Astyanax mexicanus: one gene and its partners. The protein of the gene in region 1 interacts with the protein of each later gene in a pairwise test. Links are inferred from orthologs where the notes say so. Each region holds a gene or a part of one and is shown on either strand. Other genes may lie near its edges.

Region 1 (7,791 bases):
GGACAACATTTATATTTGACTGATATTTGACCTCATGCATTTCTCTCCTGCACTGAAGAGCAATTTAGGAGAAGAAAATACCAGACAAAATAAGTTATGAACTACTTCACTTTTACACAATGTGACCTTGTTGTGTCAAACCAATAGTAAAATATAAATATATATGTACATAGTCACATTTTGATAAAGGTAATTCGATTTATTCTCATTTTGTCTGGTATTTTTCTTACAGTCCTTAACCCTTTCATGCATAGAGGTCACTACAGTGTACAGCTGTTTAAAATTGTTTTTTCTTTAAATATGCTTGCAATTTTGGGCACTGCTGCATATAGTCCACTGTAGTGGAAGCTATTGCATCATCCTATACAAAAAAATCCCATTGGTTGGTCATTGTAATGGGAAAAAGAAGTCAATGAAATCAAGATGGCCGGCAGACAGGGAAAACCACCAAACACCTTGGCTATTTTTGTTTCTACCTTTTATAAAATTATATCACTGCAGGTAAAAAAATATATAATTACATCAAGTAACATCTAAGGTGACATATTATGTAAAGATTTTCGAAATTTTGATTTTATATTTGAGGGAATTGTAGATTAATCATCTGTCCACTTAATTGTACATCATGCATCATTAGCTATTTTTCAACTTTAATGCAATGTCAATTACTTCCAGTGTTGTTTTTAAAATAATTCATATTGTTTAATGTTTTGGCTGTAAATCAACTTCTTTAATTGAGGAATGGCTGCCAGTACAGACAGTTGCAAGCAGAGAAGTAGGGTCAAGCAGTGATAGTGAAGGTGAGTCTGGAAATGTTACTGAGGGAGTTGAGGCTGAGGAACGGAGATGAAGGAGATGACGCTGTTGAAACTAAGGGCACCCCAATATCCAGTATGCCCCTGGAAACCACTGGCCCCAGCTCAAGAAAGTATAAAATGCCAGCACACGAAGAACCAAGTACATCTGCATGCAGTGTCTTGTAGCTTTGTGCCCTGTATGCTTTGGCAACCATCATAGAAAATAGTCTCAGAAATTAGCAACAAGCATGATTTGACAGGAAATATGATACATGCTATAAAATACTATAAGAGAATATGCTCACTTAACAGTTCAGAGACTTGACAAGAATACAGTATGATAATACCAGTCACAATCAAGATTCTATAAGGTTCTACGGTTCAGAGACATTTTCTTGCGTCACAATATCCTCCTCAGTTCCACTATTCCAACAGAATACCATATTACAACTGTATAACTGAATTACATTTGTGTTTTTTTTACAACAAAAAATGCATGAAGTACACTTGAGTGGACAGATAAATATTTCTTTATCGAATAAAGATAGAATATATATTTTTTTCAAACCTTGTTTTACATCCCTAAGGATGTATAAAAACACTTAGAAAAAAAATCCTGACTGAGTTTATTATAATTCATGCATGAGAGGGTTAAGGTGCCGCTGGGTGCTGGATTGTGCCTCAATCTTGGTCAAATGTAATCATATATAAGTTATGTTCAGTAAAACTAAAGTACTACATTAAAAACTGAAAAGTTCAGTATAGGTGGTAGATATAGTGTATCATTGTTTGAACATTTGAACTGACACATTTTAAGACTTCGAATTCCAGTTACACAGTACAGCGTCACTCTCACGCCCTCCCTGATTAAAACCCCTGCTCTAGAATAAACGTAATACTAGGGACGAGGACATGAAGGACTGAAAAAAGAGAGAAAGAAAATGATAGACAGACACAGAGATGGACAGAGAGGTATACGTGATTCTGGCAAACTGACAAAACTGAGCAAAACAAAACAAACCACAACCCACATCCCAGTCACCAGAAATCACTCCACACTGATTCCTCACACAGTCAGACTAGGCCAAGAACAGAGGATGAAAGAAAAGAATAGAGAGAGTAGAGGATGAACAGAGAACTCACGGCTCTGATGTTTTCCCTCCTTTCAGAAAAACCACGGCAGCCTCAGCCTCCCGTTACCATGGAGTCTCCCAGGACCGCCTCTACATCCTCCACTTCTACACTCTCTCTCCCTCTAAATCTCTCTCACTCTCTCTCTCTCTCTCTCTCTCTCTCTCTCAATCACTTGCTCACTCATTCTCTCTCTCTTTTTCTCTTTTATCCCTAGCTTGCTCTCTCTCCCAGATGAAAAGGTGGGCGACTCTTGTTTTCTCTTTTAAGTCTCTCCCTCCATCAATTATGAATGGGAGTGGTCAGTCAGTGGAGGGCAGGAATCAGCATGATAAAGGGAGGGATGGATGCTGAAGGTTCTGACCTCTCTTTAATTCGTTATATTTATGTAAAGAGTAAACGGCGCTGAGAGAGCACATGGTCTGGAGTTCAGAACCCAACAGGCTGTTGACCTTAAGCCTCCTAAATAATTATGCAAATTGGATTGGGTTTGAAACTAGGGTGACGGTTCACAAAACGCTGCAGCTCCAATTCCCCTGTCTGAACATTATTACTAGTGAAAAGCGAACTATTTAATAAAAGTAATATGTTTATTTCCTTTATTTGCTATTTAATTATCTCAGATATCGTTTCATAAATTTAATGCAAGCAGTGTCTAACATTAAATATTTTAATATGTACTTTTAATTTACTCTGAACACATTATTACACATATAAAGGAATATTAAACTTAACTTTTTACACATTGTGTCCAGTTTTCTTTAATGTGGAGCGTAATTTCTTCAGGATGGTAAATTGAATGGTGTGACAGGGTAAAAAAATATATATATATTTAGTCATAACTGACAAACAAATGGTTACATGGGGCTCCAAGTAATTCAGTGGACTGAAGTGCTGCCACTATGATCTGAGTATCGCCTGTTAGAATCCCATGGAACACTCTCTCAGACTCCATCAGCAGCCAGAGTCCAGGAGAGTAGAGTAGGTCACTCTCTCTCTGGGTGGTTACAGTAGGTGGCGCTCTCTCCCCTCATCACTCCCATTGATGCTAGTCAGTACAGGCATCCGTTAGCTAATGTTTCAGAGCTGGGTTTGCATCAGTGGCAGTTAGAAAACCGTCCTAGTGATAGTGACTGGGGGCTGTAATTGGCCTTCCATATTAAGGCAGAAAATATGAATTTTTTTTATAAAAATGCTATGGAATATTTAGTATTCTATCATGGTACCACAAGACCAATTAATTTTTTACAAACATTTATAGAAGCAAACTGCATGCCTGCCGCTTGCTTTTATACACCTGTGACCATGGAATACTTTTGGCAATATAGTGTATGTCTGATGTCTACTATTAAAAACACATTTTTTTTCATACACCTCAGAAATTGTACCTAACACTACAAGCTCAAAACAGTCTAGATTGTTCTCTTTGAACCAGAATACCTTATATCAGTATTACTTTGTTTTGTTCTCGAGTGTTTACGTGAATGTTGATAAAATAATTATATTGTTTTGTTACTAGTTTATAAGTTAAATAAATTATTATAAATTAATATAAATTATTAATTAAATAAGCATTGATACTACTTTATTTTATTAATCCCCAGTTGGGCATATTCATTTTACACAAATAACACAACTGTACAACACATATCAGTATACAATCCACTCTTAACAGTAAAACACAAAACACTACAGGGGCATTCCACTGAATGGGTCCCATTTGCTTGTTGTAACTCTTCCTTAATTTTTTTTTTATCTTTTGTCAACTCTGAATCTAGTAACACATGTATTTAACTATTCAATACATGTACTGATCAAACTCAGGCAGCTTTACTTAATTTTTTACAAGGTTTCTGATCGAAGATGGTTACATTTCTTTCAGTCATTCAAGTGACATTTAAAAATCATGTTTAAAAGCAAGTTCGCTAATTCCTTTGATTTTCTCTCAAGAAAGTGTTTATTTAAAAATATTGGTTGACTGCATGTTCAAAAAACTGATATGACATACAAATCAATCTATATGCATGCACATATTTTTCTAAAAGACGCATTGCTATTTTATCTTATCTAGAAGACCCAAACCTGAAATTGATCAAATTTATGAATATGCAATTTCTTAAACAATTGATAAATTATGAACCAAACAAAATTGGAAAAAGTGGTTTACATTAAATAATATTCACATGAATATATGGGTATAGATGGGGTAATGTGTTACGATAACAGGACTGAGTGATAACCTAGGGACACAACTAAAATGTGTATTTTAACTTAAATATTCTGTATTTATAGTGGGGAAAAATAAGCATATGTGGGATTTGGAGTCACACAACAATGTGAAAAAATTACATCTGTGAAGGATTTTAATAATTATATCTCATGGTAAAGTTTATAGTTGGAGAGGGGGGCAGGTAATAAATGCCACTTTTTCAGAGTTCTGGGTATTTTTTTATTTATGTTTTTAATTAAATATCTTACTTTTGCAATTAGGTCAATGTACAAGACTATATAGAATATGCCTACTAAGAACATATCAGTAAGAGGTGTTATACAGCCTTACAGCGGCAGGAATTAAAGATCTCTAGCCCGAGGTCAGTCTGTAGAGCTGAACAGTGTCAGGTAATGATGTGCACGCGCTGGGTAATGAACAGCTGGTCGGTGTACGGGCTGCAGTAACGGTGTGAGCGGGTGTAATACTGCGCTGGGGCGCGCGGCGGAGCTGCACGGGGCACGAGGCCCAAACTCCGCCGCTTCTACGCTCGCGGAAACAGTTCACCTCCAGGGTCCGTGCGGCCAGTCAGTGTTTACAAGCGGAGCTTCAGAAGGTGAGTAGCGCTGATTTTACCTGTACCGCGCGGGAATTACCGTCATTTAACACTTTATTCCCGTCGTTGTAGCGGTAAAACGTGTCGCTCGTGCTGCTGGCCGGACGCGAGTCTGAGCGCGAGACTAAGCGCGAGACACGCGGGGGGCAAAGTCAAGGAGGTTACAGGGGGAGGGGGGTTACAGACCCAGCACAGACAGACCCGCTAGATACCCATCAGACAGACCCAGAACAGACAGACCCGCCACAGACAGACTCAGAACAGACGGACCCGCCACAGACAGACTCAGAACAGACAGACTCAGAACAGACAGACTCAGAACAGACAGACCCAGAACAGACAGACCCGACACAGACAGACTCAGAACAGACAGACCCGCCACAGACAGACTCAGAACAGACAGACCTGCCACAGACAGACTCAGAACAGACAGACCTGCCACAGACAGACTCAGAACAGACAGACCTGCCACAGACAGACTCAGAACAGACAGACCTGCCACAGACAGACCTGCCACAGACAGACCCGCCACAGACAGACCCGCCACAGACAGACTCAGAACAGACAGACCCGCTACAGACAGACCCGCCACAGACAGACTCAGAACAGACAGACCCGCCACAGACAGACTCAGAACAGACAGACCCAACACAGACAGACCTCTCACAGACCCAGCTTGTACAGACAGACCCAACACCATACAGACTCGGCTTGTACAAACGCAGCATAGAACCTTCATACACCCAACACAGACAAAGTTTATACAGTGCTAGCACAGACCAGACCCTTCACAAAAAGAGACAGTTTATATAGACCCAGCACACAACACAGACCAGACACGGCATAGACTGACCCGGCACAGACCCAGTTTGTACAGAGAATAAGTGTTTAACCAGTGTTCATTTTTCATCTCTAATGCACTGAAGCAATCTTGATCTCTGGCATTAGAATTGATGTATTTGTGCATTGATGTAACATTTAGATGTTATATGTATTGTTTGTATAAAATGTTACATACATTGAATATGTATATTTTGATTTTATTCTATTGTAATAGATTGTATGGTGTTTCTGCAGTGTATAAAAGGATATTTAAACAATCATAAAAAATATATAAATATTATTAATATTATTTTAAGGGAGCACCTAGAAGTCAATCATGCAACATCATAATATAAGAAAAGCAATCTGTACATCAATAATTATAGTACAACAAGTCTTATTGAGAATATACAGTATAATAGTTAGATTATGTCAAATAAGAGCAATGAGGTTTTTAAAAAAAATATTTGACATTTCACAAAACATTGCACTTCCTGCGATGTGACCAACGAGCATGTGTACATTTCAGTATTGATTCTAAACCTTTTGTTGTTGTGTAAAACCTAATCTCTGTGTGGTTTTGAGAAGGACAGAGAGAGAAAAAGAGAGAAGAGGAGCGATAATTTATATTTCAACATAAACCTAGGTACTTCCTGAACTCCTGAGACTGTGTGTACGACCCTTCAGTCGTACACTCTTGAAGGTCTAGCGAATGGGAGACTCTCCTTAGCATAACATAGAGATGTTGTTATGGCTGAAAACCCTTTGTTTTGTACATGCTTTTCCCTGAACTATTGATAACAGTTACCACGTGTATACAACCATGTAGGTCATAAATATAGCATTGTAATTAATAAATTGGGGCTTAGAGATTAATCAGATTGATTTGATTAAGTAAACTCCTGTTTTAAAGCCATTTTTGAAGTGGGATAATGGAGTACATCTTTGCCATTGGAATCTCAGTAGATAGAGATTTGCTTCTGTCACAAACCTGTAAATAACAGAATGTGGCAGGGATTTACATATCTTTATGTTTTTCTTAACTGAAATACAAGGAGGTTATGTTTACACCATGTTTAATATACAATAGCTTGCGCAGCACTTTAAATTGTGCTGTCCATTTTATCAAATAAAAAATAAATAAAAATGTAATTTGTAATAATGAATCACTCGTATATTAAAAAAAGAGAGATTTTCTCTTTTCAGTATCATAATCAGTGCTTCTCTTCTCTCCTCTGTCAGATGGCTACTCGGCTCCTCGCACGGAGAATTTGGAGCGTCACTGTGAAAGATTTCCGCCGCCTGCCTGTCACAGTCTCAGCCTCTTCATCGTACTCTTCCTCGCTAACCCACTCCCCCAGACCACAGCCTCTCCTGGCCCGCTCTCACTCGCTCCCTCTGATCTCATATAGAGCCGTCTCCTTCAATGTCCAGGACCAAGACGACTTCACAGAGAGGGTCATCAACAGCGACCTGCCTGTGGTCATAGACTTCCACGCCCAGTACGTATTCTCAATGATCTGATAAGCCAATCAATTTAAGCAGCTTCAGCTGTTTGAATATTGCTGTATATAGCTGCAGTAGTAGGGAAAGCATATCCTAAAGAGCAACACAGTGAAATGACTAGAAAAAGGGAGAGAGCAGGAGTGACAGCACGAATGAGAGCAAGAGACAGTACTAGCGCCTGTGAAATTTTAGTGATGTGTGGACAACTTGAATGGTCTATGTGCAAGCTCTCCACTTTGTATGCGTCAGGGCAACGTGACGGCTGTTTTTTACTGCGCTGTGCTTGTCTCTTGATCTGATTTACCTCGCCTGCATGTAGAGCTGCGTGTAGCGCTTGCTATAGTGCTCCATGTTGTGTTAAGACGATTGCCAACAGAGGAAAAACGAGACAGAGAAAAAGAAGACCGTTTGCTGCATTTCATTTAAAATTGGAAGTGTAAATTTTTAATTATAATAAGAAATTTTAACTGGAAAGTTGGGAGAACCTTACCAACCCCAAGTTCACAATCCACAATGGCTGCCTCTACAACATCTATAGTAGCAATGCTAACCTGGGCCAATGCTAACAGTGAAAGCGGTTTGAAACGCAGAAAACTAGGGAATGACATCGTTATCAGAAGCGATCGTCCCTATAAATTTGGCAAGTGAGCTGTAGGAGTGTTCTAGTAAAAAAAAACTCCTCTTCACACTAGGAAATTCAGAATTCCCAG
Region 2 (8,277 bases), on another chromosome or scaffold:
TTTAATATGCTGCAAAATAATAAAACATAAAATGCTTAAATAGCCACATTTATATTTGTTGTACATATCACAAATATGCTTTTTTATTAAAATGAGCACATAAGTAGAAATTGTGCACATAAACTCAAAAGTTATTTTACAAGCAGTGGACCTGTTAAGTAATTTTGATTAACAATCTGACTACAAGTAAAATTTGGCACAAGGCTGTATTTTAAGCATCAATGACCAACTTCAATGTCTATATAATTTATATAAATGAGTTCAACAGTCCTATAAACACATTTTAATGCACCCTGAAAATGCCAAAAAGCTGTACAAGGGATCACCTGGAAACTGTTCAATTTTAACCAAATTGTGCCTGTTCAAATGTAAGAGAACTTTTTTTTTATTGAACACTAGATACAAATAAACAGGTCTTAAACCCACACTGTAGGTTTCTAACAACATCTGCAAACATCTATAGCTATACTTTCCAATGTTATCCATTAATGTTTCCATCTTCCCTGTCAAATGAAAGTAAATTCCTCATGAATTAAGAGAAACTCAACCCACCTCAGGTTTCACTGGTTTAAGGAACTCCAAGCTGAACTCATATTCATTTTCTCCCTTGGCTCCATGACCCTGGCCTTGAAAAACAACAAAATAAAGTTTAAAATCATGAGAGATGATTCATAGAGTAGCTCTATTAAAGGCAAAACTAACCTACCTCTGAAGCGGAGGACGTTCTCTTGAACACTAATGTCCAGGTTCTGCAAAAGAAACAAACATCACTGTGTGTGAGATCCGCCTGCAGCGTTCCAGCTTTGCATTTTGTGCCTACTACTTTAAATACAGATGAACAAAAATACAGGTCAGTGCTGTTATTGCATAGGTTCAAGATGAATGGTGAAACTACTATCACACCTGAAACAACGGCAAACTCTAGGACTGTTCATTGGTTTAGTTTAGAGGTTCTTACACTTTTTAGACCATGTACCATCTTAACTTAAACTAAGACTTCAACGTACCACCTGCAAGTCATTTCATGAGAACACATGTGCCAAACACATCCACTTATACACAGCAGGATAGATGTGGCCTCAACACATCATGCTTTTATGTCAATGGTTCTTCTTAACCAATTGTATGGAGCAATAAAAATGAAGTGAAGCACTTATCACAAACAACCGTTCTAAAAATTAAAGGTTTTGGCACCAGCAACAGCAACCACAAATGTATGAATTAAGATGTCATGTAATGAGTTAAAAACAGAAGTGCCTAACAAATCTAATAAACTCCAGTATCTAATCAGCCTTTCACACAGAAATGGACACCCAACATTAACCTATAGCTTACAACAATGAGTAGTATTATTGTCTCAGGTAGTGAATCTTAGAGCAAGGTGACAAACTAAAGAGTAATAAAGTCTAACGGCCTGAGAGTTAAAGCTAGTGTATGCATGCATAGCAGGTCACCATAATTCAAAAAGCTAAAAGGAAAGTTGCTTTAATAAGCATCTTTCTACAGTGCAGAGGGGAAGCAAGTTTTATTTCAATAAAGGGAAAACTTTTCACAATTTGCTCACAAGATAAGTTTTATAACATCTACCAGATCAGGTTAATCTTCAGGCTATCTTCATACACAGTGTCTTTTTAAATGTGTGTTCCATCTTTGGTAAAGATAGTGAGTTAATACCACACAAAATAACACAAACTCAGTTTTATCTGCATTAAAAAATTATTTATGGTTATTGAGTGCAACTTGTAAATCATTAAAGTTCTGTTGTGTAAAGAACCATAAATAGTTACCTAGCAACACTGCGCCAAGATTAACAGCCTATCCTGAAGGCCTTTGGCGCTATCCTTATTTGCATTAAACCTGTATACACAATACAGGACTACCTGTAACCGTTCTGTGGAAGCAAAACAATACAACCACTATCAGAGTCTGCTGTGACTACATATGTAGTGTAGAACATACTGTAATTAAGAACACCATTAAAATTGTGACAATATGACAATTTGTGGACAATTTGTTTTGTTCCCATTGTAAATATTATTGCTAACTTAAGAGCTTCACTAATATAATCATAATGCTATTGCACCTTAACGTAATTAATTACACTTTTTTATGTAGGTAAATTAAAATTTAAATTAAATTAAAATTTTAAAGAGCCAGGCACATTTAATGATTAAGAGTATTTAGATATTAGAAATATAAACATCCTAAATAAACAAAAAGTCGACATTCCAGCTTATTCACATGATTAGGTTCTTCTTCTATGTAAATACAAGGAGCAACACTGAGGTCCACAAAAAAGATTGAAGTAACTGTATATCTATAAATTATATGATATGATGACAAACTAAACTAAACTAAACAACTACACAATAAACTACACAATTACTGTGATGGGCCTACTTTGTTAATATGCAAAAACATGACAAAATTAATTAACCCAAATAAATGCTTTCCCTGCGTTGACTGATATTTTAGTTATATGGGTCTTAAAATAACATTATTGAGATTGTTGAGTCCAACCAACTTTTTTCTTAATATTTTAATAGTATTTTGTTTTAGTGTATGGTAAGATATTGCTTCCTAATATAGTTGCAAGTCTAAGAAGCGCCACCAATGCACTGTGTAAGTGTTTTTTTAATGAATATGGTTCTTTTAAAATAATAATACTCACTAAATATCAGTACTTTCCACATTCACACATCTTCTAGGAATTTAAATCAACTAATCGAAAAAATAATCATCAGATTAGTCGCTTAACAAAAGTAAATAATTAAGAGTGTATGGTTGCTTCTGAGCAGATGGTCTCCTTATACAATTGAATGTCTGCTGCAGTGTGTAAATGACAAATGTTGGGGGAAGGTAAGAGGTATTGGGTATTTCAGGGAAACAACAATCCCTATATACAAGCCTGGTGTTCCCATCCAGTGCTCTGTAAATAAATCATGACCTGAAACTGGGACTGGACCAGATGGCAGGTGGTTCACATCTTTGACATCTGGTCATTTTTCTTTTAAGGCAGTGACTATTTGCACTTTGTACAAGTAGCATTTGCAACACAGGGGGGCTAATTGCACCCCTTAATTTAAACTTTTGCAGTGCAGTAATTACTGGAAAAAGCTTATTTGTGGGTAAAATACAGCAAAATATCTTTGTAGAGCCCAGGATTTATGCATTAGTGTGGTAGTTAAGCAATGTCAAGCTTTTAAAATAAAGATTAGTCAAATCGGTTCTTGGATTTTAAAATGGCCATTGTATTCGAACAAAAGAGAGATTCTAGTTGCTAAATTGTGAAACTAAAATGCAGATTTAAGAAAGTACAATGCCAATAGTCACCATCATGCAAAACTTTGTATCTCAGTTTTTGTTTTCTTTCTTTTTTACATAATTTGAATTTTTCAGTTGTTCTTTAAATTGTGTAAAAACGTCATGGTTAATAACTTGGAACAAACGTTTTTTTTTTGTACACTGACTTCCATATAAATATTTTAGTAATAGTACAGGCTAAGACCTAGACGCAATTATTACACACTGATAACCCACACCTGGGTGGAAATAGCGTGTGCCTTTTTAATCAGGTGATTGTTGGGTAACACAGACTTTGAACCCATACTTTGCACTAGATTAATAATGTCTATTTATTCATACTTCACTTCTAACAGTTATTACTAAAGTTGTTATATAAAAAGTATTATTTAAAGTTACACACATCCCACCTGTAAACCGAGGTTAATGGTTGATATTATAGCTGTAGCTCGTTTCTTATTGTCAATAGCTAACGTTAGCTCTAGCTAACTAGGTAACGTTAAACTGTTAGGTTAACTGAGTGCAGAAGGAAATGATGCGGATAGAGCTGAAACACGGTCAGAAATCACGCACGCAGAAACGGAGCAGCTCCATTACTGTCTATATAAGCATTTATTTAAGTGTGTACAGGTTTATAGCGTTAAGTAAGCTGTTGAATCGCTGTTGGACCGGTGTTTGCGGGTAACCGGTGGCTAGCCGGCTGTAGCTAGGTTAACAGCCCCGCAGTCTGAGGGAGGAGCTCCGCTTACCTTGGCGTCGCTGATCTCCACCCGCAGGTAGATATCTCCGTGCCGCTGAGCCCAGAACACGTGCGGGGTGAGGGTCTGCATGGCGGGGATTCGCGGGCGAGTGCTGCCGTCTCCTCTACAGCTCGGGAATGAAGGATGAAGAGCGCCGATACATACCGAGCGCCCTGCCGGAAGACAGCGCGAGCACCAGAATATTCGGTGAAGCGAGTGCGCGCGTGTCTGCGCCGCCAAGAGGCGCTGTGCTCGCGCACGTAGCCGCGCTGCTGGAGTACAGTGGTACAGTACTGCACTGCACCAGAGAACTTCCACCGAGGAGAATACCTAGTCAGCCCGAAATGCAGACTTCCCAAGTTGAAAAAAACTTGCACTATACACTACTGAGACCATATATTATATTATAGGACATAATGTATTTTCTTATTTTTTCAAATGTTTTGTTGCACACTAATTGAGATCTGTTGTTCATCAGAATAGACTATAAACGAGCCAATGAAACAATAGCTTAGCCCCGCTCACTACACTAAAAAACAGCACTAGGAAGATTTAAAAAGCTTTTAAATTAGTGTTTAGGGTTAAGTACAGGCTTCCAATCCAGTAGAAATAAAAACAGTTACTTATTTAATGTTTATATAGATTTAATATTAGAATATTAGTGTGAATTACAGACAAAACACAGCATTATTAATGTTTATATTTTCCCATCACTGTCACATAATTTAGGTCTGAAAGGGTTAATACAGGGTTGATACGTGTTGGTGTAGTGAAGCCTAGGGCCGCTAGGAGCGCTGTTTCAGTTTCACTCCGCCTATCTCAGCAGTGTTGACGGAAGTGAACAGATACAGCGCTTTCTGAGAGCTCGGGGAAGCCTCAGGCTGCGTCCAGAAACTTTTGCTACTCCTCCTCTCCTACTCCTCCTTTCCTACTCCTCCTCTCCTACCCCGGAAGAAGGTGGAGGAATCGAGGAGAGGAGAGGAGGAGGAGGAATGGAGGGAAGGAGCTGTAATTGGGGAAATGGGACAGCTGATCCCTTTTAGATAGGATGTTGACTACCAATGAACTGAGCCAATCACGACGCTCACTTTCAGCAAGTTTCAGAACATTACTATCACACACAGCTAAAAATTCAGATATTCCAATAAAATCCTGTTTACTCCCAGCCGCATTTTTGGCCGCATCTCTGACCAGTGACCCTGGCAGCCCTGTCTGACCTCAGCCTTATGAGGGATTCAGTTCCTCATCAGTCCCTAAGTTAAAATAAATAAGTAAATAAATGAATTAATTAAAAATATATATATATTATAAATAATATATGTTTTTATATGTATAACATGATACACATAGGGTCATAAATATAGTTTTACTGAGCATACAGTTTATCTAAACTATAAATTATATTACTGGCTGTTTAATTAGATAAGGAACCTAGTTAATTAATATGTTTATGACGTATATTTGGGCGTTGCCTTCCCCATTTTCGCGTGCTCTGTGGGCGTGGATGCAGTGATGTCATTGGAAAATCCTTAAAAGTCTTCCGGAGTAGGATACACTGATGTAACCTCCGTTGGAAGCCTACTACAGGTGGATTTTAAGCGGCTTCTTTCGTCTCCTACGGTATTCGGACAGGCGGCAAGATGGCGTCACGAAATCAGTTTCCGGGTCACGGAGGAGAGGAGGAGGATCGGTAGGAAAAAGGAGACACTTTTGGGGTTTCTGGACGCAGCCTCAGTGTTGTTTAAACTGTGGTTTTGTTTTATCGTGTGTTAAAATGATTATAGATTATGCAAACGCGGTTTAACAGAGCTGTAGATCATGAGCGGAGACACAGTTTAATGAAGAGTGACTGTGAATACTGAGACAGAGTTTAGATGTGAAATGAACGAATGTGTTATTCTCCTCTTCGGTTCACTCGGTTATACTTACAGTTAATAATGCAGGCGGGCTCGGTTCTCCCGGCTCTGGTACCGGACCTGAGCTCCAGCGGGTCGCGGTTCCGTGTTCTTGTCTGTGTGACCGGCAGCGTGGCAGCGCTGAAACTGCCTTTGTTGGTGTCGAAGCTACTTGAAATACCAGGGGTAGGTTTATATAAGACTGGGTTATTAGTTTAAACAGTAACTTAGAGTATTAACTAGTTAATCTCTTAACAGGCAAGCACTTTTGTCAATTTTCTGCCTGATATTACACACCTAAATTTTCTATTCAAGCATTACATAAAAAAGGTTTTATGTTTGATAGTAAACGTTACTTCAAATTCTAATTGAAATTGTAATAGACAAAAAAAAATGAAAGTAAATCTGCAACAAAAAAAAAGCACTTTCCTAAAATTCAATCAATATTTTCCTGAATACAATTCAAACAGTTTATGTTTATGTTTTGTTATGTTTGACTAGTTTTTACATCTTTTTTCAAACGTGCAGAATTTTGGTTGATTCCTGTTACTGATCTGGAATTATTAAATGGAGTAGAAAGGAAACAGGCAGCTTCTCCAAGTGACCTGTAGAAGTATTTTTACTGCTGGGACAGAGGACAGGCCATTTTAAGGGGTTAACATGAGTAAACGAATTAATCTAATTTAGCTAGCTGGGTTAATAGTTTTGTGTTTTTATAGTCAGAGAAATCAGTAAACATTTTGATTCCGTATTAGACTGATTAATCCAGCAGAGGGCGCTGCATGAAAACACTAAATTTAATAGTCTAACTGTTTATGTTCAGTGTGCTATTCGGTGGCAAATCACCATTGACGTGATTACTTGAAATGGCAATCACATCGACACCTTCCTAAAACAAGTATTTCAGGAAACACATGAAAAACATATAACAGTTAAATTAATTTTAAAGGCCATAGTCTTTTTTAATAACAATTAACTTTATATTATAGTAAATCCCTTACGAATCACTTAGCAATTGGGGACAACCCTTAATCGTAAAGATTTTATTTAAGTAAATGTAGCCTCCAGCTTGGAAAGATTGTTATTCAGTGGCAAATCAACATTGACATATTAAGTTAATTTCTTGAAATGTCAATTACATCAACACATTCCAAAAATAAGTATGTCAGGAAACATAAAAAATATATGACAGTTGTTATGCTTTTTTTTTAAATATTCAATAGTTTAAGAGGATAATTTATCATACAGTCGAACAGTAGAAATTCAGAGAAATTATGCATTAAAGTTGAACTAATGTCTGCATCACAATTAAATGACCACCTGTGTTCTTTATTTATAACCATTCAATCTAATAATGAACTTCTAAGCCACCCCATTTAGCTAACCAAGTATGTTTAAATTATTACTATTTATTATTTGTATCAGGTTGGATGAATTGTGGTTGGATATGTGTGAGCAGACCTGGAGACCTGTGTTCTCTGGTGTAGCTTTTAGATGCGCTGAGCTCTTCAGACATCTGTTTTTTATCACTACCACAGTGAACAATCCTGACCCATTAGGTTTCTTTTTAAAACACCACAATTCACATCAGGCCACTCAAATGACTTTGCTTAGATTTTAATGGCAGTAGTTAAACAGCATTTTTAAAGGATCTAATGGGTCAAATACTGACTTTTCTTCTGAAGATTGATGTCCGTGTAGTCACCACAGACCATGCCACCCATTTTTACGACCTTGCTGAGGTTCCTGTCCGTGTTTACACAGACAAAGATGAGTGGGGGGTGAGTACTGCCTGTTTTACACAGATTTACTGCTCCAAGTCATGAGAAGATCTTCTTGTGAGTTGTATGTGTTGCAGATGTGGACGACGCGTTCTGACCCCGTGCTGCACATTGAGCTGAGGCGATGGGCCAACCTGCTAGTCATTGCTCCACTGGATGCAAACACACTGGGCAAGATAGCCTGTGGTATCTGTGACAACCTCCTGGTGAGAGATTTATAAAAATGTGTACATACCTAGAAACCACATCAAATGAAGCTCCACTCATTACTAACTCATGAATCTGTACTGCACCACATCTGAACTTGAGTTATGTGTTTGTGAGATTTTTTTTGTTAGCTGTCTCATTGCCTGTCCACTGATTCATGATGATTCATTATGAGTCATGAGGGTTCTATTGCTGGAATGTGTTGAAGGGGTTTTTTGCTAATTCTTGGGATGTTCTTGTTGACATTCTGTGTCCTATTGCCTAAAAATGTTAAATGAAGGAAGTAACTGATTATTAAAGGTACTGTATATGATTGGAGAAGTCCTGTTACTGATTGCCTGGAATGGTGTT
Region 3 (8,341 bases), on another chromosome or scaffold:
ATGTTGAACACCTAAGTCCCCTAACAACCCACAACAGCACACCCCCACCCCCTTCAGGAATCTTCTTAAATCATTTTTCAAATCCTAGTCAAATTGCAAATTTCTTTATATTCAAATTTTGTATTTTAAAAGTAATGTATTATGCATACTGAAACAAACTAAATCAAATCAAATCATATAGTTTTTTGCTATTACATCCTTCTCAAAAACAACATTTACCTTACAGAAAACTGTCAGAGTAACTGCATTATCATGAGCTAAATACTTACCAAAAGAATAGGCACTTAAGCATTGCTCGCTTGCTACATGATCCGGTCTTGAGCTGGTGAGACAATCTCCCTCGGCAGATGAATTTTTTGTCCGAGGTTCAGCAAGTATGGCTCGAAAACCTGGATGAATCCAAAAAGGTCCATTAAATTTTCATTGTTAAACAGGATCGTTCGTAAACAGGATAACAGGATTAATTGTAAAGGAAAAGAATAATCATGCCGCTTACTTTTGTCACAGTTTTCAATAGCCATGGCTGCTTGGGAGGGTTTGTGAAACCGCACATAGCCCAGTCCTTTACTCTCCCCTGTAGTTTTATTTTTAATAATAATTGCATACTCGATATCTCCATAGGGCTGTAAAGGAAAAACAATGGAATGCATCATGGTTGTGAAATACAACTAACTTACTATAAAATCTAGAACAAGTTCTGTTGAGATTTTATTTCACGCAGAGCCCATACACAAACACACACAAGTGAATAGCAAATAGAGGATGAATTTTCTATAGTTAAAATGTGTTCAATTATGATTAATCTAAAGCCATATGATTATTGACAGAAAATATTAATGAGACTAACTGAAACCAGGGGTCATTTATTCCTGTTCAGTAGGAGTTAGACACTGTTTTATTCTGCTGAAGCACACTTGATTCCACTCATCAGTAAATTGAAGAAGAAAAAAAAAAAATCACTAAAATGCTGAAATGAGCTAGAGTGTGTTCCTAATAATCATTGCCCTGCATAGACACTCAATAAGCCTTTACAATGTTTTCTACTACTATTGGGATTGAATAACAGTGCATAAGACAGATAATCACACTAAAGGTTTGATTAAGTGTGAAAATATTCAGTGACAGATTTATTGTGTTCTGGAAGAGCAAGATGTTTAAGCGATGCCAGGCTTTTATAATTAACTTCTTAATTTTACTCTTTCATTTTCTCGTTCCATATCCTCTTGTTACGTGTCGGAGCGTTGGGTTGTTTTTTTCTGCTCACTCCCTTTCAGTTTTCCTATTTTGTGCCATGTTTATGATTTTATTTTACTGTAACACTCTACCTAATGACAGACAGATGCAGCTGTTTGAAGAAGGGGTAGATTTTTTTTATTATTATATTGTTTCCACATTGTTTTTTTTAACTTATGTTATTTAGGAAGCTTATGGAGCCTTGGAGATTTGGTCTAGAGACACTAAGAGATACATGGCTGCCACTGCTTATTGTAAATTTAGTCAGATACTTAGGGCCGAGGTTTGGGTTTACTCTTAGTTTAGTGCATTATATTATTTCCTTTTCTTCATTGCCATCCATTATCTTCACTCCAGGCAAATCAATGTTTTCTTGCTTAATGTTTTTTGTTAGGAAACGTTTTATTTTCAAGCTCTAGTAGCTTTGTCACTGCAGCTGATAAAATCTGCCCTTGAGCTATCCCCTATTCTCCTGTGTCTTGTTTCTAGTTGGGCACACTCTTGTGCTTTGCAATGGCAATTTTGTGTGAAGCATGTAAAAGCAAAAATCTAAAAAATTTCTCCACAATGCTACACTAGGTGGTTCTAGTTTAGGGATTATATAAATATTAAATAAAAGTGTTATTACTGAACATCAGCTGTGTATGTCACAAACACACATGTTGATGCAGCCCTAGTCCAGGTAGTACCTTAAAAGTCTCTTTCAGATCATCTTCAGTAAAGGTTTTTGGGATCATTACAAAGATCCTGGTCAGCTCTTCATCCTCCACGTCTCTGTGGCTTCCAGAAGACCTGGACTGGGCAATGAATACCTGTTCAAGCAAAAAAAAAAAAAAAAAAAAAAAAACAGATGACTACACTGTAAAAAATCCATTGGCAAAAAAAAAAAAAACTAGACAAAAAGTTTCGTAAATGACTGAAGTAAGACTTTAATCGGGCAAATATCACTGATCTTTTGGCTTACATTTGGATTCAAGAATCCAGTTCTTATTTTTAATTAATTTTGTAAACTAAGGGGGAAATTATAGACGGATTAAGAGTGATTATAGACTGATTAAGATCAATAATTCTAAAATAAGAAAAAAAAAAAAACAATCTTACACGTCTCTAGTAGATACATAAAAGGAAATGAGAACAGTGTGATTTTTTATATGCTTAACACTGCAAAAAAAGTAGTATAAAAAGTGATAATTAGAGGTGGGTGACAGCACGATATTTCAGGGTATAATATCGTTCACGATATTAAAAAATATTATCGGTATTATCGCGTATAATAGCCCTACTGGAGACAGAGCTTTTCCATAACAGCTTTCTCAGCTAAGCTAGCTACAATAGAATGCAAACCGCTCCACAATAAAACGGAGAACAAAAAAACTCAAATGGAAATAAATTCACACCTTAATGGGTTTGGTTCCTTCAGCCAGGCATCTACCGTGCATCTCCTCCATCGCAGTGCATGCTTGAGAAGACTTGGAGAATTTAACAAACGACACGCCCTTCGACTCTTTCGTGTGTTTGTCTTTTACAACCCAAATGTCCTGGATGTCTCCGAAAGTGGAAAAATGCTCCCGGATTATATCTTCGGTGATGGATTTGCTGGTAACAAGAAACAACCGACTATTTGGGGGCTCGTCGAGATATGAGGGCGTCCTGGTGATCTCCTCCATATTGAAGCCGCTGTTGTGCTAGCCCTGCAAGCTAGCCGAGGGTTTAGCTTTACTGCAGCTGTTCTCTCCACTGGATTTCAGAAATGGAAACCGCAGAGCTGCACAAATGAGCTTAGCGTACCTTTAGTTAATTAAATAACGTTTTAAATTTCTCAACAGATAACCGCAATGACACCGAAAACACTAACGTTAATTCTGTTGCAGTCATGTAGTTTAGCTTCCATAAATAATCGGTCTGCGCAGGTTCCCTAGCTACAGAGACCTACGCAGCGGCTCACACTTCAAAATAAAAGTCCTCTTCCTGGCCTGAGGTGGGAAGTCAAGTAACAAGTACACTACGGCTCAATCCCATTTCTGTTTATTTTTTCTCCTTTCATCTTGTTTTGAGATCTACTGTTCTGCAAGTTTGTTCATCAACCTTCTGGGCTGGAGAGCTGCTTGTCTGTAACACTCCACATGGGCGTGGTAGTGGGAGGAAAAGTGGACCTGACTATCAAGGAAGTAGGGAGAGGGGCCCATGAAAAGTCCAGATTTTTTTTTTTCGCTCATGTTCCTTGTGTACTGGCATGGATAGCGGCCCACTGACATTGAGAGTGTACAGGGCCCAGAATTTGCTGCTACGCCCCTGCCAACCATCCCTGCTAAGCCTAATATATTAATTTTAAAACTGGGGTGTCGGTCGCAGGTGTTCTTCTGGCCACGTCACATGTCTTTACGTACTTATGTCCAGTGATGTCAGTAACGAGTAATCTAACGTGTTACTATATCCAATGCAGTAATCAGATTAAAGTTACTTATCCTGTGTCACTGTGCGTTACTCTCTCTCTCCACCTCACACACACACACACACACACACACACACACACACACACACACACACACACACACACACACACCGCGTTCCCTTTTTTATTCATGTTTAAAATTAAATTTCTCCTGATTTTCCCATAATGCCAAAACAGGTCCACTACCATTTGAAAGAGTCTGTCCTAGGCTATCACCTCTGTAAGTTTGGGCAAATTTCACTGTATTGTTTATTTTATATTAATTTTTTATTATTTTTTACTCATGCTTAAAATTAAATTTCTCATGATTTTCCCATAATGCCAAAACAGGTCGATGACCATTTGAAAGAGTACAACATAGGCTATCACCTCTGCAAGTTTGGGCAAATTTTACTGTATTGATTATTTTATAATAATTAAAAAAAATTTATTTATGCTTAAAATATTTTTTTTTCATGATTTTCCCATAATGCCAAAACAGATCCATGACCATTTGAAAGAGTCTGTCCTAGGCTATGACTCCTGCAAGTTTGGGCAAGTTGTACTGTTTTGTTTATTTTATCTTATCTTCATTTTGTTATATTCTATTTTTATTGTATTCTTTTATTTTGTTGTCTTACTTTATTTATATATCTATTTTAACAACAGCTCTTGGGTGTAAACTGAATCGTGAGATCACAATTTCGTTCCACCTCATGAACCAAATGTGATACGAATGACAGTAAAATCTCCTTGAATCCTTGAAAACAGGTCCAGTACCATTTGAAAGAGTCTGTCCTAGGCTATCACCTCTGCAGGTTTGGGCAAATTTCACTGTTTTGTTTATTTTTAATACTTGCTAGTATCAGATGTAAAGTCTTTCTCCAATAAGCCATCACAGGGCCACTGTGAGGCAGTCCTATCAGTTCCTCAGGCTATCAGCACTGCGTATTTCTGCAGGTTTCACTATAGATAGCCCCTTGCACTTGAGGTATTGGATTTAAGGTGATGGTTTTAAACTCACACCCCCTGTTTCTAGCACAGGTGTCTTTAACAGGTGATTTCTAGACTAGACTGTTTAGAAATATGCTGAGCAGTTTAATGGTGGAACAGTTAAGTGGACCTTTTTGTTTTCTTTGTTTTGGCATTATTGGAAAATCATGAGAATTTTCATTTACAGCATGGATTAAAAAAATAATAATAATATAAAATAAACAATACAGTAAAATCTACCCAAAATTTCAGTGGTCATAGCCTAGGACAGACTCTTTCAAATTGTAGTGGAACTGTTTTGGCATTATGGGAAAATCATGAGAAATTTAATTTTAAGCATGAATAAAAAATAAAAAAAATTATATAAAATAAACAATACAGTGCAATTTGCCCAAACTTGCAGGAGTCATAGGCTAGAAAATACTCTTTCAAATGGTAATGGACCTGTTTTGGCATTATGGGTAAATCATGAGAAATTACATTTTAAGCATGAATAAAAAATAAAAAAATTAATATAAAATAAACAATACAGTGAAATTTGCCCAAACTTGCAGGAGTCATAGCCTATGTTGTACTCTTTCAAATGGCCATGGACCTGTTTTGGCATTATGGGAAAATCATGAGTAATTTAATTTTAAACATGAATAAAAAATAAAAATAATATAATATAAAATAAACAATACAGTGAAATTTGCCCAAACTTGCAGGAGTCATAGCCTATGTTGTACTCTTTCAAATGGTCATGGACCTGTTTTGGCATTATGGAAAAATCATGAGTAATTTAATTTTAAACATGAATAAAAAAAAAAAAATATATATATATATATATATATATATATATATATATATATATATATATATATATATATATATATATATATATAAAATAAACAATAAACAATACAGTGAAATTTGCCCAAACGTGCAGAGGTGATAGCCTAGGACAGACTCTTTCAAATGGTAGTGGACCTGTTTTGGCATTATGGGAAAATCATGAGAAATTTAATTTTAAGCATGAATAAAAAATAAAAAAATGAATATAAAATAAACAATACAGTGACATTTGCCAAAACTTGCAGGAGTCATAGCCTATGTTGTACTCTTTCAAATGGTCATTGATCTGTTTTGGCATTATGGAAAAATCATGAGAAATTTAATTTTAAACATGCATACATTTTTTTTATTAATATAAAATAAACAATACAGTGCAATTTGCCCAAATTTGCAGAGGTAATAGTCTAGGATGGACTCTTTTAAGAGGTACTGGATCTGTTTTGGCCTTTTGGGAAACTCATGAGAAATTTTATTTGAAGCATGGATTGAAAAAGTAATATTAATATAAAACTCTCTCTCTCTCTCTTAAAAACCGATGGGATTGTTATGGTATTATATCACATAGATAATGTACTGCACAAAATCTACAGTGAGGTGAGTTATTTTAACCCGTTTTCTTCTCGTTTCTGGGCTTAATGTATGTCTGAATTAATATAAGTTAACCGATTGAAACGTGTCTGTCTCCCCTTCTCTGTGTGTGCTCTCCTCCTGCGCGTCTGTTTACCGTAAAATCGCGCGTATACGCCCATCAAAGATTAAAGCGCGGATGACTTGACTAGGAATTTCCGAAGCGCGGATAGCTTGACTCCGGTAAAACACCAGCATAGATATACTCCTTAATAACTGCCCACATCTTCCCCAAGGTACACAGCAGACACAGCCGGCCCATCGGGAATCCTCACGAATCTCTCGATTAGCCACTCCGGGCCTGGACACACTGACAAAGTTGTAATTAACTGATTTCCAATTCCCAGTCTTCATTATTCATCTTTTAATAATGCTTTTTCCGCCCAATTCCTTTGGAGGGGAGTGCAGACATATGTTCTCAGTCTTCAAACTGATTGGGCATAAAAAAGGCCACTGCAAATTTCATATTTCTTTATTTGTGGATTTCATGCATCTGTTTGCCAGTATTCATGCCCTTAGTGCTGTCATTATCAGCCAGCATTGGCAGAGCAGCCAAAAAATACTGAGAGCATGTGTGCTGTTTGACAAAAAGGTTAATTTATATAAAATAAAAAAACACTTGAGGCTTGTAGTGTAAAGACAGCCACTGACACTGGTGATTTTTTTTTTTTAGATTTTATATAACATTTTATTATTTTATTGTTTATTCTATTATAATTCTGGTCTAAGTGATTCCTAAATGGCCAGTGAGTTTATTTAACTGCGACTGAGTGAATACAGCTGTTCAGCCCAAGGTGTGTTAAGAACAGTTTTTTTAGTCCGGTGTTCTGTCAATTTTCCTACCCATCGATACATGCTTCCCAAAGGTACTGCGCATGCGCCGACCTACACAATTTAATTCTTTCTCGTGTTTTATGTATAATTAATCTGGATTAGGGGGGTTTATGTGCATTAAACAACCTGGACGCACTGTCATTGCACAAAAGTGTAAATGGAAACTAAAATTTACACTTATTATCATAAATAAATACAAAAGCAGTTTGTAATGAGCTATATTTACTATAACTTTGCCATGGTACAATGAATTATGCAATCCAAATCTAATAACGTACATCTACTGGAATATCACTGGGTACATGCCCTAAAACAGTGCTTCTTTTGTATTTTTACAGTTAAATATACATTGGGGCAGCACGGTTCGACAAGGTAGCAGAATTCGACAGAACACCGGCCCTGTTTCTCCAGTCCAGCTCCGCCCGTGCTCTCATCAACAGACTTTTGGAAGAAACCAAAGTCACTGGAAAAGAGGGGGAGATCTGAGATTTTGAGGCATGATATTTAATATAATTTAAAATAATATATTTCACCGTTCCTATTAAATTATGATTATTCACGTTTATATCTCACGTTTTAATACAATATAACATATAATGAATATATTAAAACACACAAATTAAAAACCTTTCGGGCAACAAAAACCCCCGAACCTAGTTTTGAATGGTCGTGGCTCCACTCCACTGAATCAGTAGCCACAAGAAAGACGTCCTTTTTTCCGGGAGCTGCATGGGGACTGCAGGAGTCCAAAGCCTCGCTGTGATTTATGGGGAACAGTTATATATTGGGTCAAATAATCCAGTATTTCTTCACTCTGGTGCTGAAGGTCCGCTGCGGTGCTCTTTACTGTGTTTCCCTGTTCCTCTGTTTTCGTTTAAAGCCCCTCAGTCTTAAAACAGCGGCACTAGCGGGCCTCCAGCGGGCCTCCAGCACCACTAGTGATTACCCTGCCGGAATAGATTATCGTAGCGCGGCGGAGCTCTGTAAGTCCCGGTGAGTAATTTAGTTAGCTGACTGTTTCAGCTCTCGGTGAAGCGCGGTCTTATTATGATACTTAATCAGCTCTTAAACAGCGCTGTGTGTTTGTTTTGTTTCTAAACGAGCAGGTGCTGCTGCAGGTAATCAAGCTAACTGTAGCTAATTAGCTTAGCCAGCCATCCTCCACTCGCTAGCTCGCTGACGTTAGCTATCTTACAGCGTTATTCGCCATTAACACGCTTTAAACAGTCTTACCAGTATTTAAAGACTGTTTAAAGCGTGTTAATGGCGAATAACGCTGTAAGATAGCTAACGTCAGCGAGCTAGCGAGTGGAGGATGGCTGGCTAAGCTAATTAGCTACAGTTAGCTCGATTACCTGCAGCAGCGCCTGCTCGTTCAGAAACAAAACA
Region 4 (7,646 bases), on another chromosome or scaffold:
TTTCATTGTTTCATTAGATAAGTTGTTATTCTTTTTGTTAAGTTAGCTTAGGGATTTGGTTTATTTTGTTAAGTTCTTTTCTTTGGTGCCGTCCTAAGTTCAGCCCTTTTTTTTTGTTTTTGTTTTCATTTAAGTATCTTTTTGAAAACTTTGTATTTTTGTAAATATTGGACTTGGATTTTGTCACTGTATATATTGAGCTGTGACTTCAGTAAATGGTTAAATGGAAATTTCTCTGGTCTATTGTTTTCTCCCTCACAGTTTCACACACCCATACACTCATTAAACTTATCCACAATGTTACATACCCCTCTTATCCCTAGACAAACAAATGGGGTTGTAACAGTGAATATATAGTGGTTATCTTCAAGGCATGAAGAACACTAACCAACTACACAGTTCATTACAAAGAGTGTAATAAGTCCTGTTAAATTAACTGGATGATGTGCTGCACAATTTGAATACAATTTTCCTGTGCTAGGCATGTGAAATTATATACATAAAAAGCTGTTTTTAAGAATATGTTCCTACCAATGCACTTTGTTTTGCATGTCAAAACATTAATAATAATAGTAATAATAATAATAATAATAATATCCTAGTTAAAGTTATGCAGAGAAACAGACAGTCAGTACGCAATTATAGAATTACAAAATGCTTGCCTTTAAAAATCTCATAAAAAAGACAGTTTAGGAACAATGAGCACTTGTGTGGATATTTATAAACCTACACATGTGATGTTGTTAATTTAATGCAATTTATTTTTTCTAATGGCACAAAAAATCTTCAGCATTTTTATTATCCTTTAAACTGTCTTTATAAACAGCAAGTACAATCTAATGTTAATCCTAACAAACCAATTAATATATTTAATTATTGTTCCAAACTAAGGGACTCCATGGACCTTACCCTGTCATGGAGGAAGACGAGAGCCTGCAACAGGTCATAAATGCCTGCACAGATCTCTTCTGGCGTGAGACTGTCAAGCAGCAACTCCAACGGCTTAACTCTCTCCGTTACCAGGTGAATGCCTCCATTCTGTACAGAACAAGAGAGGAACCGCAGCAGGCTTGGGTGCCTCAGAGTCTTCAGGTGCTAAAAGGCAATAGGGAAAAAGCATAACTTCCCTCTGGGACACCGATAATGACAATGCTCAACATGGACAAAGAAACATATAAAAGATTCACATCTGTGACAAGTCAGGGTTCTGACTTAATATACCTTGGCAGCTTTGTTGACTTTGTCTTCATTGCCCTGCTTGTAGACAAACACAGAGGCAGCCTTTCCATCCTGTAAGATGGCAGAGTACATTGTGAGTCCTGAAGGCAGCGTCAGCAACGGCTCTTCCAAGATGCAGCTCCGCAGGGCACTGCTCTCTGCACCCATGGTTGCAGCCAACTGCTCTGTCAGGGAAAAAAAAAATAGAAAATTCTGCCTGACTTCCTAGATTCCACTGATGACTTGTTGCTCTTATTGAACATACGAATTAAGAAATCTAAAATTTTAATTAAATCTGTCATTTAGGTCATTCTTTGGTTTGAAAAGCTCAGTTCTTGTCAAAATTGTTTATTTTTGGTAATAGGAACCAGGCATCCAGAGTGTTTAATGCTTGAAATGGCTGGATCACATAGAGCTATCACATTAAACAGTTTACATTAAAATGAGAAAGTAGTATCATGAGTAAGAGGAAGATGCAAGGCCAAATAGCCAGATAATTACCATTATGGAAATAATTGCAAAGTAAATATGGCACAAATATTTATATCACAGTGTTTAAAGTCATTTAATAATACACAATATTTAGGCCAACATTTTGGCATACAGACAAAACGCATTAAAACTGACAGACTCTCTGCAACTGCTGAGAAAATGTACTGCTTTTCACCATAATAGAATTTATCACAATACCATAAAATATATTGTACTATCGCCCACCCCTAATTGCATCATCGTTATTATACCAACATATAAGCCAGGTGTGTAGTGTAAACTGAATATCACTGGAAATACTGAATATTATTGGAATTTTCATTTAGAGCTGTGTGAGATGCGCTTTCTCAAAATCAATTAGGTATGCTAGAGTAGTGTGGTTATGTTCTGGGACGTAAGAATTAAAATACTTATTTAATAAACCTACTAACCTACTTATGTTAACAAAAAATTAACCCGAGATAAAGGCGAAATATACATTTATAAAACACGTTTAACTGACATCATGAATGGTAAGCCTTTGGAAATAAATGATAAAAGGCTTTATTTTTGTAACAAATTAAATTAGCTTCTGAACTTCCACTGCTGGTAGAGGAAAACAGACATTGCCAGTAAAAAAAAGCACAGCTTAGCTAGGCTATATAATCTAGTTAAAAATATAAATATCCTACTGAGTGACCAGTACCCGCAAGGCCTATTAGCTAATGTCTGACAAGAGACTAGCTAACTAACTTCTGCCTCTCACTGAACAGGAAGCAGACTGTCCAAACTGACAGGTTAACGTTAACGTTAAAGTTAACGTTAGCTAACGGGAGTTAGTTATGTTTCTCAAATACACAAGAGATTTAGACACAGTCTGTCTCTCTCTCTCTGATTTCTAAAGTGTGAAATGTCGTTTAAAACAATAGAGTACCTTGTCACCCAGCGGGGCACTAGAGTTTGGTAATCTATGGCCTGTAACTTAGTTGGTTAAGCTCTCTTAGCTGTGTAGCTATGCTAGCTACCAAAACACCACTGAAAGTCTATGTAGGCTAGGCTAAGCTAGGCTAGCTACCAAAACACCGCTAAATGTGTATTTAAGCTAGGCTACGGTAGCTACCAAACACCGCTGAATGTCTATATGTAAACTAAGCTAGCTACCAAAACACAGCTAAATATGTCTATATGTAAGCTAAGTTAGGCACGGACACGCTACACTAGCTATCAAAACACAACTAAATGTATATGTCAGACAGGCTAGGCTAGGCTAGGCTAAGTTCCTCCGGCTGGTACCTGCGCGGCCGTGTCGCTTCCTCAGCTCAGTGAATCAGTGGATTTCTCCGGCGGCTCCCATGTCGACCTGACCTGCAGCTCTACACTCCGGCTCCAGTCAGGTCAGGTGGACTCTCCGCAAACTGTTAATTACCGAGAGCAGACACAGAGCTGCTGTGATAAGCGGCAGCATTAACACATCCAGCCTACTCTCTATCCCCGCAGCCCAGCGCACATCCTGTTCCCCAGTCATAAACACCGGCCAACCGCCCGCCGGGACCGAACCATTCCCCCAGCGCCCTGTTCCGCCCCTCTCTCTCTCACACACACACAGCGCGCGGTACTGGATTAATCCTTACAGACACAGGTCTGTAATTTAGTACATCTACAGTCGAGAACTTTGTTCTGAACTTTAAAAGACTAAACTAGCGCTGTCTCTTTCCCTCCAGCAGGGCAGCAGTGGTACATGCCGCGGTGGTGTGAGCGAGGCTACAGGTTGGACAACACTAGACTTCATGCAGGTGTCAGACGCTCACAAGCACAGGTGTCCAAACCAATGGAGGAGTACACTAAACATGTAGCTACTGAAGCTAAAGAAGAGAGACACAGAGTAACATACACTCTAGTAAAATTAACCCAAAAGAGTCCATGGTGAGGTATGTGTGACAGCTCCTTTAAAATCTGTGTAAAGTTCTCTACAGCACTCTCTCCTTCACCTTAACTTATGAAGTTCCTAAGTGACATACAGTCAACACCCTGCGACTTTGCAAGTTCTCCCATTCTAGAAATGTAGAAGTGGAGGGGTCAAACATTTTCATCTTAGGTCCACTGTTAGAGACGTAATCTAAAAAAAATCTGTAAATCACAATGTATGATTTTTTAATAATTTATTTGTGTGTTACTGCTGCAAATAACTATCCGAACACCTACCAACCTTGTGGCATATGATCCTAAAAAAGATGAGGAATCAGCCCAGAACTACACGGGAGGAGCTGGTCAATGACCTGAAGAGAGCTGGCACCACTGTTTCCAAGGTTATTGTAGGTAATACACTAAGACCTCATAGTTTGGCACAGAAGTCATGTATGGCACAGAAGGTTTTCCTGTTTAAATTATCACATGACCAGGCTCGTCTTAAGTTTGCCCATGATTATTTGAATGATCCAGAGGAGTCATGGAAGAAAGTTCTGTGGTCAGATGAGACCAAAATAGAACTTTTTATCCAGGACCTGTAGTTTGTTGTCAGTGTCAGTACTCCTGTTGAGGTGTTTATCTCTGGGCCGATTCCTGCTTTCAAACGGGGTAATGAGCGCTTCAGCCGGCTACTTATGCTGAACAGCTGGCTTTCCTCCACCTGTGCCCATCGCAGGGTGAATTTTATTGACAATTTTAACATCTTTTGGGACCGTGGTGAACTTTTTCGACAAGATGGGGTACACCCCAATTCCCTTGGATCTCGGCTTCTGCACTCAAACATACTGTACGACATCAATCATGCAACATGGTCTTGTATTAACAACAGACCAGAAAACCCACAATATTGTGTTACACCACCTCCTGAGGAGCGAGAAGTCTGACATGCTAGAAACCATGCTACGAGACTGTCTACTATCCCAGTGTTATGCAATAGCTGGTGGCATGGTCGTAAAATCCATAAGAACACTCTTTACAGATCAGCTAGGTCTAATTTAGTTACATTAAAGCCAATTGAACAAGTAGAGGTATCACAGGTATTAAGTGCTGCAGTCCTCAATGTTAGATCATTAGCTAGCAAAGCCTTTTTTAATAGGTCAAATGGTTGAGAACTATGAGCTGGATATCCTCTTTTTGACAGAAACCTGGCTCAGCAGTGATGACAATGTTGCTCTAAATGAATCAACCCCACCTCAATACTGTTTTTTTAATGTTCCAAGAGTCAATAAGAAGGGTGGGGGAGTAGCATGCATTTATCATAGCAAGATATGCCTTATACAACAGAGGTTTGGGGAATATAGTACTTTTGAGTATCTTGCAATTAAGTTTAGTGGCAAACAGTCTTTTTTAATTATTATACTTTATCATCCACCTAGATATCACCCTGCATTTCTTAATGTATTTGGTGATTTATTAACAAAAATAATGACTGACTTTGACCATATCTTATTTACAGGTGATTTTAATATTCATTTTGATAAATCGTCTAATCATATTAGTCGTGATTTTACTATGCTGTTAAATTCTTTTAATCTTACACAGCATGTAATTGGCCCTACACATAAACATGGCCACACCTTAGATTTGGTTTTAACGTTGGGGTAGAGACTAAGGTGTTAAACATACTTGATGTGGCACTTTCGGATCATTATTGTGTTTTCTTTACCTTTTCTGCGCATGCCAGCTTTAAAACGACTAGGAAAACTAGTACAAAGCGCTACCTTACAGATGACTCAGTGTCAAGTTTCTGTGATCTTTTTAGCACTTTATCACCTATCAAGGCTACTTCCTGTGACAGACGGGTAGATAGCTTTATACTAAGATTAAATGAATGTATAAATACTATAGCACCTCGAATTACAAAACAGAGGCACAATATTCCTAAAGCTCCGTGGAAAAATTCTGCATCAATAAATAAGTTAAATATAGATTACCGGAAAGCAGAACGAAAATGGAGACAAACTAAACTTACTGTGCACTTTGAAATTTTTTAAAATCTGCAAATTGAATTTAATTCACAAATCAAAAATGCAAGGGCAGCCTATTTTTCAAGTCTGATTGATAGGCACCAGAATAATCCTAAATTTCTGTTCTCCACAATTGACAAGTTGGTTAACCACTCACCTCACATTTCACTAGAGCATTCTAGTCAAAGTCAAAGTCAAAGTGGTTTTTATTGTCATTTCAGCTATATACAGAGTACACAGTGAAACGAAACAACGTTCCTCCAAGGACCATGGTGCACATAAACACAGTGTAGACAGAACAATAGTGCAACAGTACAAAAGTGCAGACAGACAATACAACACAATACAGACAAAGAATAATAAATAACAAGACAGTGTGCAAATTTTGCAGTGTGCAAAAAAGACCAGGTGAGGTAGTAATTACTCTATTACACAGTGTGCAATAGAGTCCAGTGAGGTAGTAGGGTTTTTAGTGCTTTCCATTTTCTGGGGTAAGTGGGGTAAGAGTGTGTGTGCATGTACAGAAAAACCATCAGTTCAGTCTCTGCAGTTAAGGAGTCTGATGGCTTGGGGGTAGAAGCTGTTGCAGAATCTGGTCGTGCTGGACCGGATGCTGCGGTACCTTCTTCCCGAAGGCAGGAGGGAGAACAGTTCGTGTGAGGGATGAGTGGGGTCATTCACAATGCTGGTTGCTTTGCGGATGCTGCGGGTGGTGTAAATGTCCGTGATGGAGCGGAGAGAGACGCCGATGATCCTCTCAGCTGTCCTCACAATACGCTGGAGGGTCTTGCGGTCAGAGACGGTGCAGGTCCCAAACCAGGCAGTGATGCAGCTGCTCAAGATGCTCTCAATGGTCCTTCTAATCGCATATGTGATGAATTTGCTCAATTCTTTGGCAGTAAAATTATCGAAAAGGTAGTGTCTCTTCAGCTTCAACAATATTTAGATAGTAATGATTTGAATGCAACATTTCAGTCTGGTTTTAGAGCACATCATAGCACAAAAACTGCTCTAACCAAAGTTCTGAATGATCTCAGATTAAACAGAGATGCTGGAAATTTGTCTATAATAGTTCTTCTTGACCTTAGTGCTGCATTTGATACAGTCGATCACTGTGTGTTGCTAAACTGTCTAAGAGACTGGGTTGGTCTTACAGGTATTGTCTTAAACTGGTTCCGGTCATACCTGTCTTGTCGTGAATATTATGTGACATTGGGTGAAAGTACTTCTACTCACGGTGTTCCCCAGGGCTCAATTTTAAGAACAGTACTTTTTAACCTCTACATGCTTCCTCTGGCTAGAGTTGTCAGTAAATATAATATCTCATTCCACCAGTATGCAGATGACACTCAGTTAAATATGTCTTTAGCTACTGACCCCAAAGGTTCTATTGATTTAATTTTTGACTGTTTAAAAGACATTAAGTCCTGGATGACTTATAATTTTCTACAGCTCAATGATGATAAAACTGAATTTATTATCATTGGAAATGGTAGCGAGCGTATTGAAGCAGTATCTTATTTAGAGTCCCTATCAGTAAAAACCCAAGACCATATTAAAAATCTTGGTGTCACATTTGACTATGACTTAAGCTTTAAACGGCATATTAGTAATGTATCCAGAACAGCATTTTATCATCTTCGTAATATAGCTAAGGTCAGACGTATTTTAACAGTAACTGACAGTGAGAAACTTTTGCATGCATTTGTATCATCACGCCTGGACTACTGTAATGCACTGCTTGCTGGTCTTCCTAAAAGCACTATCTCAAGCCTACAGAGGGTCCAAAATGCAGCTGCCAGAGTATTAGCACGTGTGAAGATAAGGGATCATATTAGACCCGTTCTTAAAGAGTTGCACTGGCTGCCTGTATCATATAGAATTGATTTTAAAATAATATTGCTTACTTTTAAGTGTTTACATGGTCTTGCTCCTTTATATCTCTGCAGTATGATTGAGAGGCATGTACCTTTAAGGTCCCTCAGGTCGGCAAATAAAAACTTGCTAACGGTACCCACCACCCGG

What was found.
Region 2: the proteins of txn2 (region 1) and ppcdc interact in binary tests that used the Homo sapiens proteins (3 or more experiments, as listed by UniProt). The two-hybrid records come from large-scale screens. The link is inferred for Astyanax mexicanus from reciprocal best matches to the Homo sapiens genes TXN2 and PPCDC.
Region 3: the proteins of txn2 (region 1) and rbm45 interact in binary tests that used the Homo sapiens proteins (3 or more experiments, as listed by UniProt). The two-hybrid records come from large-scale screens. The link is inferred for Astyanax mexicanus from reciprocal best matches to the Homo sapiens genes TXN2 and RBM45.
Region 4: the proteins of txn2 (region 1) and scyl3 interact in binary tests that used the Homo sapiens proteins (3 or more experiments, as listed by UniProt). The two-hybrid records come from large-scale screens. The link is inferred for Astyanax mexicanus from reciprocal best matches to the Homo sapiens genes TXN2 and SCYL3.

Annotation. Positions count from the first base shown.
Region 1 is NC_064410.1:18,704,938-18,712,728, forward strand, and holds the start of txn2 (thioredoxin, mitochondrial), read left to right. Parts: upstream 1-4,645; 5' UTR 4,646-4,753; intron 4,754-5,088; exon of another isoform or gene 5,089-5,158; intron 5,159-5,203; exon of another isoform or gene 5,204-5,263; intron 5,264-5,278; exon of another isoform or gene 5,279-5,352; intron 5,353-5,353; exon of another isoform or gene 5,354-5,393; intron 5,394-6,817; coding exon 6,818-7,077; intron 7,078-7,791.
Region 2 is NC_064416.1:23,550,187-23,558,463, reverse strand, and holds the start of ppcdc (phosphopantothenoylcysteine decarboxylase), read left to right. Parts: upstream 1-4,891; 5' UTR 4,892-4,923; intron 4,924-5,778; 5' UTR 5,779-5,932; coding exon 5,933-6,124; intron 6,125-7,623; coding exon 7,624-7,719; intron 7,720-7,796; coding exon 7,797-7,925; intron 7,926-8,277. Other genes in the region: hacd3 (very-long-chain (3R)-3-hydroxyacyl-CoA dehydratase), read right to left, coding at 553-626, 707-749, 4,053-4,133. UniProt on the Homo sapiens protein: Catalyzes the decarboxylation of the cysteine moiety of 4-phosphopantothenoylcysteine to form 4'-phosphopantotheine and this reaction forms part of the biosynthesis of coenzyme A.
Region 3 is NC_064418.1:32,368,999-32,377,339, reverse strand, and holds the start of rbm45 (RNA-binding protein 45), read right to left. Parts: upstream 3,314-8,341; 5' UTR 2,901-3,313; coding exon 2,631-2,900; intron 2,046-2,630; coding exon 1,923-2,045; intron 624-1,922; coding exon 497-623; intron 390-496; coding exon 270-389; intron 1-269. UniProt on the Homo sapiens protein: RNA-binding protein with binding specificity for poly(C). May play an important role in neural development.
Region 4 is NC_064408.1:58,394,338-58,401,983, forward strand, and holds the start of scyl3 (protein-associating with the carboxyl-terminal domain of ezrin), read right to left. Parts: upstream 3,418-7,646; 5' UTR 2,983-3,417; intron 1,404-2,982; exon of another isoform or gene 1,399-1,403; 5' UTR 1,387-1,398; coding exon 1,222-1,386; intron 1,096-1,221; coding exon 910-1,095; intron 1-909. UniProt on the Homo sapiens protein: May play a role in regulating cell adhesion/migration complexes in migrating cells.